2 linked regions of the Lepisosteus oculatus genome follow. The main gene of each other region encodes a partner of the protein of the gene in region 2 in a complex. Links are inferred from orthologs where the notes say so. Each region holds a gene or a part of one and is shown on either strand. Other genes may lie near its edges.

Region 1 (7,773 bases), on a different chromosome or scaffold from region 2:
CTGTAATAGCTGCACAGGCCTTCTGCACGGCTTTTGTCTATCATCCTGTTATTACAATATATTACAAGAGAGGCCTGATTTTTCTTTTTATGACCCCTATGATCTTGATTGTAGACCCACAGACTTTCTTCCCGTTAAGCAAGTGCACTCAACGTGCTGGAATCATGACTTAATAGCTTCTGTGTACTTCTAAGAAAGGTCCATTGATGTGGATTAACAAAATATCCCAGTGATCTTTGAAAAGAAACATTGCCTGCCTGCAGCTTCCTTAACGGGGCCCGTATTTATTGTGCCGGCCTGCCTGTGGCTCTTCTTGACCCAGAACGTATGGCAGTGTGTCTGAAACATCCATGCTGGTGTGAGAGCCTACGCAACAATACATCAAAGTTTAATACAAAATAAAAGCAACGTTGACAGCTTGCATGAAATTGGCCCTTTTACACGCACAAGCTTTCATGAACTCTAGCCAGGGTCTAGCCATTAAACAGGTGAGTAATCTTCGCTTTAGATAACTCACCTGTTTAATGGGGGCTGCACATAGAAAGTCACCCAGACAGCTAAAATTAGACCTTTCAGGCTTTTCTGTTTCTCTGTTCTGATCCTTTCTGCTCATTGCGTGTTGAGGGATTTATGCTGTTTCAGTGCAAAGTGACAGAAGAGAGGAAGCAGAGGTGCCCTAGGTACAGTATCAGTCAGGGGCAGGCTGGATGCTACTATTCCCACTGGCATTTCAGTCCAGCCTCAGATGTAGCTGATCGATAGGGGATCAATGAGGCACAAGCCCATACAGCACACCTTGGAGACTGTCTGCTCAGTTACCAAGCACAGGTAATTTAAACAGACCTTCACACACAGAGCCCATTGCTTAAAGGCCAGAAGAATCAGGAAGAAGCACAAAGGCACGAGTGCTTCATTCTTTTCTGGCACTACTGAGTTATTCTGCACAGATCCCTTCAGCACCCTCTCCTGTCGCAGGGTACACTGAGCCCGACTGCTACAGCCTGTTGCATTAGTGGCTCAGTGTCTTCAGTAGCAAGAGGACTAAAACCATAAAAATCATGAAGCCGCTCACACAAATGACTGAAATAGCTTGAAATTTCTAGCAAACTAGGAATGAACTCAGAGCATTGATCTAAAGATGAAAGACTTCACACCCACTGCCTACACGCCGAGCCTCTCTTAACACCTTCCCTCGACAGCAGACATCAGATGCATGTTTAGCACAGACAGATGTAAGCTTCAGTGACGCTCAGTATTCTTTCAATGGAGTTAACATTGCAAGTGGCATGCACTGGCACAGAGGAACGGAAGCTCAACCTGCAACAAGCAACATATTCCTGCTTTGCACTAAACTGCACTTCTCCCGCCTCTGTCTAACATCCTGTAGTGTTCTGTGCCTAATGGTGCCACCCTAGGGCATGTAAAATGACACCTTAATGTAGGCTGGTCATTTCCCATTGAGTCATGTAAAAATAGAAATGGTATTGTGTGGGTATAATGCATGCGTGCAAGCATGGATAAATATTTCTTGAAGCGATGCCTAAAATGCATGTGTACCCACACATACCACTCACTGCCCATTAGTACAAGGGTGTCATTACTGGCAATAATCTAGGAATTTACCGTATCTCCCTTGCTCATTTTTACACTAAACTGTTACTGTGCTTTGCTCTCACAGCCTGGATCTTGCTTCAGCAAACTGTATCCTTCCAAACCATCTGATTTCCTAAAATGCACTCCTGCATGTCAGTGCAACAGCTTTTGCAAATCAAGAAAGTGCCCCCAGCCTGGTGCATGACTCTCACTGAATGCAATTTTATGATTTACATTCGCACCTTTGTGTGTGAGTGCATGTGTGTATTACATGAGTCAACCTTAACCGCGATCGTGGTCCATCTGATCTGCAGTGACACCATACTGTGCTTCTCTGTGTGACAAAGCCGTCAAATTTCATTCACCATGGTTTAAAAGTCAGCTTCTACTCATAATGGAAAACATTCAGTCTTCTGCTCATATGCAAATAAAAACATGTCCACCCAGAAAGACTTCTTTGGCACCAGAGTGGCAATTGAATACTAGGGTGTGATTTTATAAAATGTCAATATACACACACATAAATGTATATAACATGCTCATTATATATAAATACACATAAATAATACCTACATGTTCTCTGACAAGCTTGGAGGTACTCAGAGCAATTTTGTTCTATTAATGTCAGTATATTGCCAACAGAGGAGCAGCCCCATGCAGAGATTAAACCTCTCAGTCTGAACAGAAGCATTTTATCTGTGAGATAAGCAAGTTATAATAACAAAGCAATCGATGCCCATTCAAGTTGATCAAATAAAACAAACAAGCCACAACAACAGAAACTAGAGAACCACTGCACTGCAGTACAGCCCTTGACCAGGTGCTAATACTCTCAGGGTTCGAAACACTGAGGACTAACCGGTTATGTAGTGGATTAACTACAGATGCCTGGCTGAGCCTGTGCTGTCAGGAGGAGAGAAAGAATTCTAGAGAGCCTGAACGCAACATCCAGAGCTCCCTGACTTACCGGCACTGGCAGAGCACAGCAGAGACACCAACAGCACAATCACCAGTGTCAGGATCTTCACATTCATTTCTGCACTTCCCTCTGGCACTCCGTTAGTCAGTAGCTGATATAGTGCAGCGTGCGCGCGTGTGCGTGTGTGCGCGTGTGTGTGTGTGAGAGAGAGAGAGAGGGAGAGGGAGTGTTCTCTCCTGAGGGGAGACTGTGTGTGCGAATATGTATGAGTGTGTGTGTGTGTGAACACTCGTCCAGACCTCTATCTATATATGTATTTGTAATGTATTTATATATCTGTGTGCAAGCCTGACAGCGCCACGCCGAGACTGAAGGCACGTCTCAGTCTGAGCTCTCCTGAGGAGGTGTGTTTCTGTTAGAGAAAGGCTGCTGGTGCCAAGTTCAGCAGAGCTGTGAATGTGTGGAGCAGCAGCCTGCAGCAGGTTTTTGTATGTGAGCTGTTTGCCTTGAATAAGAAGCCCAGTCGGTCATGTGGCTTATGTATCATTGACTCTCTGGGTCACGGAAAAGGGGCCTCCCTGTTACCCCCCCACCTAATCGACCCTCCCACAGAGGACACAGAGACAGGGGGAGAGGGAGAGAGAGGGGGAGAGATCGTGAGTGAGTGAGTGGTGTTCGGGGTTATTATAATAACAAAACAGGGTCTTGTTAAAAAGACATTTCCAGTTCTTTTTGGGAACTAGGAATCCAAAAATTAAGGTGAAGCGGGAGCGAGGGAGCAGAGAGGGAGAGAAAAAGTTATTTTCCTTTTGTCTCTTTCCCATCTGCACAGAACAAGTCTCTATCCCAGTTCTCCCTCCTGCCCCCCAGCCTTGTTTCCTTTGACAAATTGTATGAAATAAATACTTGAAAGTTATTAACCCTCCTGCCACAGAGCCAACTGTAGGGAAACAGCTGACAAACTTCAGAACTCTGCACAAATTCCCCTGGATTGAAAACTTAAATAGTAAAGGCATGATATTCAAAGTTTTTTTTCTGGACTAAAATTAGATTTGTATCTTCAAAATTTTACAATCTTTCAGAAATGTAGCTTTGCAGAGCAGAATAATCTACTCCTGTGCACAAGTTTAACCCGTTTCTTTTTCTCCTCCAGAATTTGGTTTTGAAATATTTTCCTTGACTGAATTTTTTTAATCGAATTTGAAAATACACGACTATTTATTCAGAAAAATAGATCTTTTCAGCATCCATTGGAGAAAAAGGGAAAACTGTTTTGAACAACAACATCAAGAACAGCAAGTCCACATCACCTTTACTCTGCGACCGATGTTGGAGGTTTACATGAGCCAGCCTAGCAGTGCAATCATTTGTATATAAATCACACAGATTACAATAGTCACAGGTCATTGAACTATAAATGTGCCTCAATTGAATAAAAACACTAGAAGCAACAGCCTGGTGAAGGTACTGTCTGCACAGTTGTAATAATGTAAATTGAGTTTGGGTACATTTTGCTGTGCTGTGTCTCAGGACACTCTGAAACATATATAGACTTTGAGCCTAAGAAATATATCAGTGCCAGACAGCATGAAAAACTACCCCATTGCTTAATGAAAAGAAAAGAAACAGCATTTCAACTGCTGTGCTATGCTGGTACTAATAATAAAGTTCAACTTCTTGTGTCAGTGAACTTCAACAAGTACACGTGCAAAGCATTACAGAGCGACTGTAAATGCTGTAAAATCCCTTGTCTCCTTTTACTGTGAGTTAATCAATAGGCCTGCGTGAATATTTGAACTCCTCAAGCGAATAAAAGGGTTAACAGTTCAGATGAGAAGCAACGTGTTCTGACTGCGTTCAACAGGAATGCAGAGAAAACAATGCTGGTGTACTTCATGCGTGTTGGTTTGAGTTCACTCCGGTTTAGGAGAGGAAGCAGCAGTGTGTCGGATCTCACATGCGTGTGCAAGGTGTGGACAAACCACGGGAGGAGACGATCTAGTCGGGAGAATTGCCTGTGCTCGCTACGACTGCAGGCTCGGCCACTGCGAATTGGTCTGCGTTTTGCGCTGTGAGACAAGAAAGAAGGTGCTTCTTCGTGATCGGGAAGGCAAGACGCAAGGACCCCTGCACCCTCTGCAGTCTGAGGGATCTCCCCGGTGGCCCGGCTTCTGAATGCAAGAAGTAAAACCGGATGACTGCACTGTGCCTGGCCACAACCCCAGATAGTCCAGCTCCTGCTCGCCGGGCTCACATGCTAGCTAAAGGGTGGCTGGGTTGTGCTGCCCTTGTTTCCACCTGTCAGAGAGGGCATTGTGACGTGTCTGGAGGCTAACATATACATGGACCTGGCACCCACTTGAAAATGAAGAACAGGAGTACCTTACAACCTTTTTCGCCCACTTCAGTGCCTAATCAATTAGCCTCAGGGGTCACTGAGATGCTGTCTACTGATTCTTATCTACATGGCTCTTTTATTTTGCCAGGAGATGTGCCAAGCAGCGTTAAAGAGATGCGCTGAATGTCACTCTCTGCGGTGTTTTCTAGGGAAGATGATTCATTGCTCTGCGCTGGGAGAAGCCAACCCTTTTTGAAGATTCTGTCAAGCAATCCTTTACCTTGTCTTTGCTTTTTAGTCAGTTTGTTTTTCAAAATGCACCCAAGCCTTTCAGTCTCCGTGTGGGTCTCCTTGACTGCATTGCGCTTCATCGTGTCGCTTGAACAGGTTTCCTCCTTAGTGCCGAGACTCGTCTGAAATGAATGACTGTTAAGCCACCTATCTGCATTATCCAGTTAGCTTATCGACATTTGTTGTTGAATTTTATAATGATTGAGTCAGGAACCATCACGATACCCAGGCAATAATTGTGAGAGTGTTGAGTAATAAAGTTAAAACACTTACGTATTGCAAGGGGAGGTAATCAAATTAAGCACATTTCAGTGTCACTAACAATGACAGTGTGTGCGATGCAATGGTGCTGAAGCAACAAGTCATTTCTGACCCCTGAGGACCTGACTTCCCCTTCAGTGGCTTTAGAAGTCGTGCTGTAAAGATGGCCGCCCCCCCTACAAAGTGACACAGCTGCACAGACCATGAGGTTTCTGTTTAAACTCACATGGCCTCCGTAGGAGAAGGGCTGTACACCAGTAGGGTGTGGACAGACAAGTGCTAAATGTGAGAAGGGTGAAAGGGATGGAGACGTGTTAGTGATAACAGTGACCTAGCTGAGTGTGTTTCCAGGATTGTCTCCCCTGGCAAAGTGTGTGCATGGCGGGAGTCTGTGATACCGCTGGAGACTGCTCCACCACAAGCCCTTGGCGGTGTCCCTCTGTAAGGAGACCACGCGTGCATGCACATGGGCCCAGAGCAAGGGCTGCAGTGGGGCGTCTCACGGTTCCGGACTGTGAGCTCCGGCTCGCCCATCTTGTAGGGGCTCCCACCTTCAGAGCCTCACGCCTGTGCCCTGTGAAGGAGGCCCTGGGAGACGGGGATTGACGAGACAGCAGGGTCTGCGTGGCTTTGCAGGGAGTGCCCAGAGACCCAGCCAACATCGTGGCATTGGCAGGGCACCAGTACCATGTGGAGCATGAGGATGTGCCCTACCCTTGACAGGTAGTTGGCGGAGAGTTTGCCGATGTGTTTCTTTATTGCACAAAGAGAGGTGAGACCAAGCTGCTAGACTGTGTTGTTAAACTTATTATAGTAATAGTAATAATAATAATAATAATAATAATAATTGCTTACACTTATATAGCGCTTTTCTCGACACTCCACTCAAAGTGCTTTACAGGTCATGGGGATCCCCTCCACCACCACCAATGTGCAGCATCCATCTGGATGATGCGACGGCAGCCATAGTGCGCCAGAACACTCATCACACATCAGCTATCAGTGGGGAGGAGAGCAGAGTGATGGAGCCAATTCATAGAGGGGGATTATTAGGAGGCCATGATTGGTAAGGGCCAATGGGAAATTTGGCCAGGACGCCGGGGTTACACCCCTACTCTTTTTGAGAAACACCCTGGGATTTTTAATGACCACAGAGAGTCAGGACCTCGGTTTTACGTCTCATCTAAAGGACGGCGCCTGTTTACAGTATTGTGTCTCCGTCACTATACTGGGGCATTAGGACCCACATGCACCGCAGGGCGAGCGCCCCCTAGTGGCCCCACTGACACCTCTTCCAGCAGCAACCTTAGTTTTTCCCAGAAGGTCTCCCATCCAGGTACTGACCAGGCTCACACCTGCTGGGCTTCAGTGGGTTGCCAGTTGTGAGCTGTAATTTAACTTAATGCCCTGGCAGTCCAGTGGGTCGAATAGCCATGTGACCTCTGGTTCTGATTTCTGTGCTTTTGCTTTTTCTTCTCTCTTCCGCGGCCTCGACTGGGTTTCTTTGGTTTGCTTATTTTTCTGGTACAGCTGGATAAGTGCGTTCCTTTCGGAAGCGCAGGGCGACCCGTTCTGAGGGATGGAAGAGCTGCCCGGCCGCCCCACGCCGGACATGATCAGCGGGCACACGCTGCATTTCCTCGACAGCTGCCCCCCTGCAGGAAGCTCTTGAAGTTTACAGGAAAAGGGCCGATAAAAGAATTCCAGCAAGATATCCGTTTTGTGAGCTTGACGACGCAAACCATCCTCTCGCCGGTGGCCACTTAAAGAGTTTTTATTGTCTCTGTGAAGTGAACTCTTCCTGAATTGGGGCTTTATTAATAGTTTGAAACTTGTCCTTTGCTGGACAGCTGAAGTCAAAATTTAGATCTGGAAAACAAAGTGTTGTTTTCCCCCAAGAAATTCACGTGTGATAATGGGAAGACATTAGCGGGCTTTTGCTTCATACTTTGCTAAACTTCCTCTGTTTTTCTTCTTATATTTGGAGTGATACAGTAAGTATGTTTGTTTCCTGCAACACATCTGTTTGCAATTTTACCCTGTGAGTCAAGCACCTTAAAACAAAAGGAAGCAATCGGCCATTAATTTTTAATATGCAATTAATACTGTTTGTGTTTTAAACAACCTTTCCCTTAATGATTAAATAAAGCCTGATGTGCATCTGCTTCAGAACACCTTGAAAGATGCCTACGTCAAACAGGTAATATCTGGACTTAAACCTCTTGTATTGTCTGTCGTGCATTTCTCTGGGTGTGCTTGAAGGCACTGGAATTTAAAGAGAGGGCCTTTTGCAGCAGGGCTGAAATTAGTGCAGCCCTCTGGGTATTTTCTTCTCTTGCTTCATTTGACAAATTTCAGGAATCAGAGACCA
Region 2 (6,992 bases):
ACAAAGTGATGTAATATCTATTAAAAGGGTCCTATAACTTTCCACTCTAACAGTAGTGTGAACTCTGCCCCATTTTTCCAGTATTAAGTCAACTATTCTACCTTAAGATTCAAGCCCACCTGTCACTTTCTTCATATTCTGGCAAAAAACACATAATGTCTGGGGAATTATTGACATCTGCTTGACCACATTGCTGCAGGCAGATGTTTAAAAGTTAGAGACCAGACTCTGCTTCTTTTTCTAATTCCTTTATAGTGCATTTTTAACGTGCCTGGCGGGCTTGCTGAGACACCCTTGCTTTAACTCAGCCAAGAAAAAGAATTTCCTGGAAAAGCTCAATATCCCAAAAGAACTGCAGTCATTATTTTCCCTGTGCTTTTTTTAAAGCAGCAGGCCGCTCGGTTCCTCTCGTCTTCAAGAACTGAAACAACTGCACAAATGAGCAAGTGTGGGAAGAGACACAGCAACACAACATTCACACGACCAGCGGGGATTGAAGAAAGTTAAGAGGAATATTTTAAAAACACTTTTTATTTACAAATAGGAAATGCTAAAAAGCATCCAGATACAGTAGTTAGTTACAGGCAAAAACATACAATCCATAATACAAATCCTTAATTTCTGAGACATTCACAGCAAAAGCCACTTACAGATGATAAGTCACCCCAGCTCCAAAGTCATGTTACAACAGTGCATTCAAGTCAATTCATAGCCATCACCTCCTAGACCTCTGCTCCCCCTCCCGGAAAAACATTTGGCAACAGCCATCTGCCTGCCCGACCACCTCTGTCGTCCGACATGTTAATTCAACTGCAACACCTTCCTTCTAATCACACTCACCAGCCTCTGGCCCCTTTCCCTCATTAGCACAGATTAGCAAAAGTGGAGAATGGGTTGCACAATCTTTCCTCTTTTAAACAAGTGCTAAGGAAACAGTACGACAGCAACAGAGCACAAAAAAACATGGAAAACACTCGGGACATTTTTTCTTTCCCAGTGTGACCAGGCTGAAACTTCACTGCCAACAACTTATGACCTCCCTCTCATCTCACTCCTCCTGTCCAGAATTCAGCCCTGGTTGAATTCTTTACAGCAATTTACAGCATGTACTCTTTTTTTAAAAAAAGGCAAGCCAGAAAAAAACAAGTCTTTGAAACACATTTACCTCTTTCAAAAATTTGTACAACGCAAGCAGCTGGAGGCACAGCCAGCTGGCCCCAGCGTTGTTTGTTGGGGGAACCCCTTGTAGCCCAGGTATAAGCGCGTGGGGTTACCCCAATAACAGAACAAGTCCACACATCGGGTTTTCCAAGTGTTACAGCCCAGCGAGCAGACCGGGTTTTCAGTTTTTCAAAGTCCTTTCTCCCACAGTGGGGGGAAGGTGATCTCAGTCCGGGAATCTGCGCGCCGGCTCCGTGCACACAGTCTGTCGCCCCACGAGCGGGGCTCCCTACACCTTGGTGGCCAGCGACTGGACCTCGGACTTCTGGGTCTGCGCGCTGAGGGTGGACGACAGCGAGCTCATCTGGCCGTGCATGGCCTTCTTCAGGTTGAGCAGGCACAGGCACTGCGAGCGGAAGCGCAGGTCGAAGAAGGCGTAGAGGAAGGGGTTGAGGCAGCTGTTGACGTAGGCCAGGCAGGTGGTGTATGGGTGAGCATGCAGCAGGACGCTCAGCAGGGCGCAGGTCTGGGGAAGCACCTTCAGGTAGATGAGGGCATCCAGGCTCTTCAGCACGTGGAAGGGGGTCCAGCAGAGGGCAAAGACCACCACCAGGGTGGTGATGATCTTGAGCAGCCGCTGCTTCTTCTGGTCCTCCTTGCGGAGGTTGTTGAAGTGACGGGTGACGGTGCTGCCGATGAAGCAGTAGAAGACGGTCATGAGCAGGAAGGGCAGCAGGAAGCCCAGGAAGGAGGAGGAGAGGCTCAGGCCCGCGATCCACAGGGACTCATGCTCCCGGTTCAGGGTCACCAGACTGAAGTCCATGCCGCAGGAGGTCTTGTTGGCCTCGTCCTGCAGGGTGGTGCGGAACAGCAGCGTGGGCACGGCCAGGACCCCGGACAGCAGCCAGATGACGCCCAGCGAGGTGATCATGGTGGGCCGGGACCGCAGGTTGGTGCTGGACAGCGAGTGCACGATGGCCAGGTAGCGGTCAAAGCTCAGGCAGGTGAGGCAGAAGACGCTGGCGTACATGTTCACCAGCACCACGTAGCTGCTGATCTTGCACAGGGCCACCCCGAACAGCCAATCGTAGCCCATGGCGGTGTACACTGCCCACAGGGGCAGGGTGATCACAAAGGTCAGGTCTGCCAGCGCCAGGTTGCCGATGTAAATGTCGGCCGCCCTGCGCTTGGATTTGGACTTCCACACGGTGAAGATCACCACTCCGTTCCCGGACAGCCCCAGGATGAAAATCAGCATGTACAGCACTGGGATGAGGGAGAAGGAGGGCTCCCACTCTGAGTAATCACACATGGTCTCGTTGTCCTCGTAGTAGTCATAATCCTCTTCCATTTCTGGGTAGAAATCCACGCCTTCAGCCTCAGCTCAAGTAAGGAAAAAAAATGCCCTCGGCTCCAGAGAGAGAGTGAGAGAGCGCAACCTCTGGAAACTCCAGTCAATATGTGTCTGCCTTGCGCTGTGGGCTGCTATTTAAACTCTGTGTCTTCCACTCCCCCCTTCCCTCTCAGGACAGGTCTAAAACGCCCCCTAATCGTGCCATCAATCACTTCTCCCCTCTCCCCCGCCCAGCCACACAGTCGCGGGGGAAAGATACATTATCTCTCCCACCCAGCCGGCGCGCAGTTGGGGCCGCTTGTGGTCTCCGCCCTGTGCGAGAAGTGGACGGTCATCGCACAAGCGCAAAACGAGAGACGGGCAACCTCAGCACGACAGATTTTAACAGAAAAAAAACCAACTTAAGAGATGCTGTTCAAAGGCCAATTAAAGCCTCAGATATGACCCATTAGCTATCCCGTTTAATACTCGAGCACACGCGCGCTGATGTCAGACAGAATCAGTTCATATAAAAATGTATCATGCCCGGATGCTTTATTAACTGTCTTTTTTTCTTTCCGTCTGCTGCAATAAAGCAAGCAAGCATATAACCAAATAACAAATGAAAATATGAGCACCAGGATTCGAGAAAGAAAGGGCATTCCTGCGTATGAAAGTTTAAGAGGGTGTCTGCTGGGATGCGCTATCCCCCACTACACTGGAAGTTTCCTGTTTTTTCAGCCGTGGCAAAAGATCCTTATTTCAACAATTCGTGTCTAATTACAGTTCTGCGCAGCTGGCAGAAGAAATAAAAACAGGCAGACGACTGCGGCTTTCTGGTAGCCAGCGATCTCTCGAGAAAAACAAACTTTTTTTTTTAAATAGCCGCATTACTGTAGTTTTATTGGAAACGAGAGCCTGCCAGAGCAAGTCGACAAACGAGCGACACCTTGAGCGAGCAAGAGGAGCCTGACTGGAAAGACAAACGCGGAGACGGGAGGTGTGAACTGCCGTGTCGTTGTCACACGTAACAGATGTCGGGAATCGATGCAATATTTTAATTATGCAAGCATTCGTTAAAATGAAAAAGTAAAAGCATTTAATATCGAATGAGAAAAACATTGGTCGTCAGTCTACAGGACACGCGGCTGTCCGCTTGTGCCCATACCTTCAAATACCAAAAGCGCATCGTATTTCAGGTGTTAGAAATGGGGAACAAACAGAATTAAGATATGTCTCTGAATTTCTCACATGTATTCAAGTTCTTTCCTGCTTTTGCTTTGCATATGAAGTGTTGGGTTTTAATGCGTTAGATTGAACTAAACTGGAGATCTATAAAAACAAGCAGACACGGGCACTTATGACTTTCCGCTTCTAAAGTTTTCTTTTAGAAAAAAAAACAAGATGGGAGGCCGACAGCTGAAATCAGTAACAACACTTCTAATTAAATCACATTTACTATAATAATTATTTACGTGTACTGTATATAGCGCTTTTCATCTCAACTGATCTCAAAGCGCTTTCCACATGAAAAGGGACGACTGTCATTCACCCCTGAAATTCAGCATCGATCTACTTTTGATATAAAATGGATTGATAGAAACGGACTTTCTCAGTACCTTTAGGAAAATAACCTGTAGATTACCTGTGTATTGCTATAGAAACACCCCAATTCTCAATGAGAACCTTAATAACGGATTGGAAGCAGGGAAATTGATGAATTCTCACCCCAGCTTTCTAAATAAAACCTATAAATGGCATAATCCGCGCGTGTTACACAATTTTCTACAGGTTTTCTTTTCTGTAAAAGGATGTGAACTCTATATATCACTACATTCTGTCCACCCATAAGACTACGTAAGAGATAATAAGTAAGAACGTTAACGTCCATTAATAGAAATGTAAATAATTCATGGTATATTTTGTGACAACTCAATTGCTTTAAATAACGGGATTGGTCCGGACTTGATTTAATTTTCAAGTCTCGAGATTAATTAAACAAAAGACAAAGAGCGCCCAGGTGAAGAGCGGTTTGACTGCCTTTGATTATCTTAATCGCCAATCAACAGGGGAGCCCAGTTCGTTTATTTACTGTCGTGTCCTACTGATGATGACTGAGGATCACCGAATGTTCTGAGTTTGAGACCTCATATCAGCACTGAAAATGCTACATGGCCTGCCTCTTCTTTTCTGTGAAGCAGACTGCCAAAACCAAAATGTCTATAGAGACAGGAGGTGGGTGTAATGAAAAACAAAACAATTCATAAAATGATTGATGGTGCTTATGATTTAATGAAAAATAATACCTTGTCTTATTGTCATTTTAGAGCTTCAGTTTATGTTTAACATGCAACGAAAAAGGTCAGAGCAGAATACAGTACCTTCGAAACTGAAGGTTGTCGGGTGCTTTTAAGTGAGGGACATCTCTGTATACCGTCCTAGATAATCACTTTTCATTATATCCCGGTACAAACGACACACTATATGAAGTACAAGATTGCAGAACATAAAATACACCAGCGGATTCTGAAACTACTTCGATTTTTTGCAAGTGTGTAAATATATCAAGTAACGGTTCTTAGTGAGACACGGGCGTGCATGTAGCTGCTCTCCTTAAGCTGTAGAGGAGGATTTGATATACATTCTCTCGAGTCGCGTATTTGATCGTTTTTAACATCACGTAAAAAACACGACACGTTTTACTACTACTGTATTTAATTGGGCCCATTTCAAGAGAATAGTGTCTTATTTTCATGACTGTCTTCAGGCGTCAGCCTGAGAGCGGTGTTCTTACATAACGCGCTGAGCTCTGAGCTGATTTCTTCAGGAAATCTTTGCTGTCCCGGCGAGCAGTGTGAAGTAATTTCATGAGCGTCTCCCACCTTCGAGCGTTTTGCAGCTTAATGCCCACATTAGAAAATATGTATTCTATAAAAGATAAAACGTTAAAACAAGCTATAGCTATAATCGGCAAGTTGGGTAAGTATCAGTTTGCCCTTTTTATTAACTTTGCCTGCATCGTATTTATGTTTTGCCGTTTGCCAAACTTGGTTTGTCACGTTTTAGTGTCCTACACATTTAAGGCATATAAAACAAAGGAGTTCAGGAGCAACAATATTCTGCAACGGCTCTTCCAATGTCTCACTTTGAGAAGCGATTTGCAGAGTCTGTGGTTCAAAACCCTCATCGCTAAACCCTGTTCTGCTTCTGCAGGTCTCACCGGCACCACAAGAGGGAGCTACAGAAAGCTCGTCTCCGTTTGTCAGCAACAGCCTCCGTTTTTATGGAATTTTCTCATCGTTTTGTTGAAAATTACCTTCTAAACGAAACTTGGAAATGGAAGAGTGAGAACAGTCAAGACAGACATCCATGGTAATGAAAGGGATTAAGAACGTAAACAAGGGAATTTTTCATTATCAATTTGTGAATAATGTGTTTACTAAAATACTGTAGCAGTGAGTCACTACCTCTACTACTGAAGAGCAGCACCCTAACTGGGTGATGTACAGCAGCTCCACTACACAACAGATTCATTGAAGTATCAAAAAGTACTTTAGAAAGGGAAATAAAGGGGACATTTAGGTAGATCATATTAATAATTTATTTTATAGAGCATCTTTAAAGCCCTTTTACAGCCAGAATAAAAGTTAACAAGGAAAAGTGGGAAAAAAATTAGCACAATCAAAAACAAGGATTTAAAATGCAGAATTAGATGCATGGGGCAGACACAGAGCCAATTAGAAAAAAGCCCTTCTGAAGAAGAAGGTTTTGGCTCAGGATTTGAAAGCGCTCGGACTCTGACTCTTTGATATCATTGGGGGCAGAATTTTAGAGCTCTGGCGTTTAGCAAGAGGCCCTGTCAGACGTCAGACGAGTCCAACGAATGAAGGTTGCAATGTTGGGAGCAGGAAGATAAGTCAAACAGGTGCTGAGAAATTTGACTGCCGAATTCTGGACATACTGAAGTTTTCTCAGTGTAGCTTTAGATACCCCAGTGAGAAGGGTGTTGCAGTAATTCATTCAGAAAGAACCATACTGTATGTGCTGATTAGCTTTTCAGTAACAGTCAAAGGCAACATAGGATGTAGCTTGGTGATATATCTGTGATGGAAGAAAAATGTTTTTACAATATTTTGCACATATGGGTCAAAAATCAAGCCCTGGATCAAATATCACCTCCACATTCTTCAGTTTAGATTGAAATTCATATACAGTACCATCCACAGACAATGTTACTGCATTAGCTTTACATAATTGATGATAGGTGCAGAGCAGCATGACTTCAGTCTTGTCACAGTTTAAGTTAAAGAAGTTTTGAGTCATCCAGGTTTTTATGTCAGAGATGCATTTAGACAGAGCAGGGACAGCCACTTCAATGTCAGTTTAAGTATGGACATAGATTCGAGTATCATCAGCATAGAACTGATCATTCAGACCATGTGATCTTAATAGCTGACCGAGTCGGAACATGTAAATGCTGAAGAGTAGGGGGGCCCAG

What was found. Proteins that work in one complex are often made in the same cells at the same time.
Region 1: the proteins of aplnra (region 2) and apln are in contact, whole or in part, in a cryo-EM structure (PDB 8XZG), measured with the Homo sapiens proteins. The link is inferred for Lepisosteus oculatus from reciprocal best matches to the Homo sapiens genes APLNR and APLN. Residues at the interface, in NP_005152.1 of Homo sapiens: Tyr35, Phe78, Trp85, Tyr88, Thr89, Tyr93, Ser106, Ile109, Phe110, Met113, Pro163, Val164, Arg168, Gln180, Cys181, Tyr182, Met183, Tyr185, Glu194, Glu198, Leu201, Gly202, Ser205, Tyr264, Lys268, Tyr271, Ser275, Cys281, Asp284, Leu285; in NP_059109.3 of Homo sapiens: Arg66, Pro67, Arg68, Leu69, Ser70, His71, Lys72, Gly73, Pro74, Met75, Pro76, Phe77.

Annotation. Positions count from the first base shown.
Region 1 is NC_090703.1:50,476,086-50,483,858, forward strand, and holds the start of apln (apelin), read right to left. Parts: upstream 3,004-7,773; 5' UTR 2,628-3,003; coding exon 2,561-2,627; intron 1-2,560. UniProt on the Homo sapiens protein: Peptide hormone that functions as endogenous ligand for the G-protein-coupled apelin receptor (APLNR/APJ), that plays a role in cadiovascular homeostasis. Functions as a balanced agonist activating both G(i) protein pathway and beta-arrestin pathway of APLNR.
Region 2 is NC_090717.1:13,926,382-13,933,373, reverse strand, and holds aplnra (apelin receptor A), read right to left. Parts: upstream 2,648-6,992; 5' UTR 2,513-2,647; coding exon 1,451-2,512; 3' UTR 514-1,450; downstream 1-513. UniProt on the Homo sapiens protein: G protein-coupled receptor for peptide hormones apelin (APLN) and apelin receptor early endogenous ligand (APELA/ELA), that plays a role in the regulation of normal cardiovascular function and fluid homeostasis.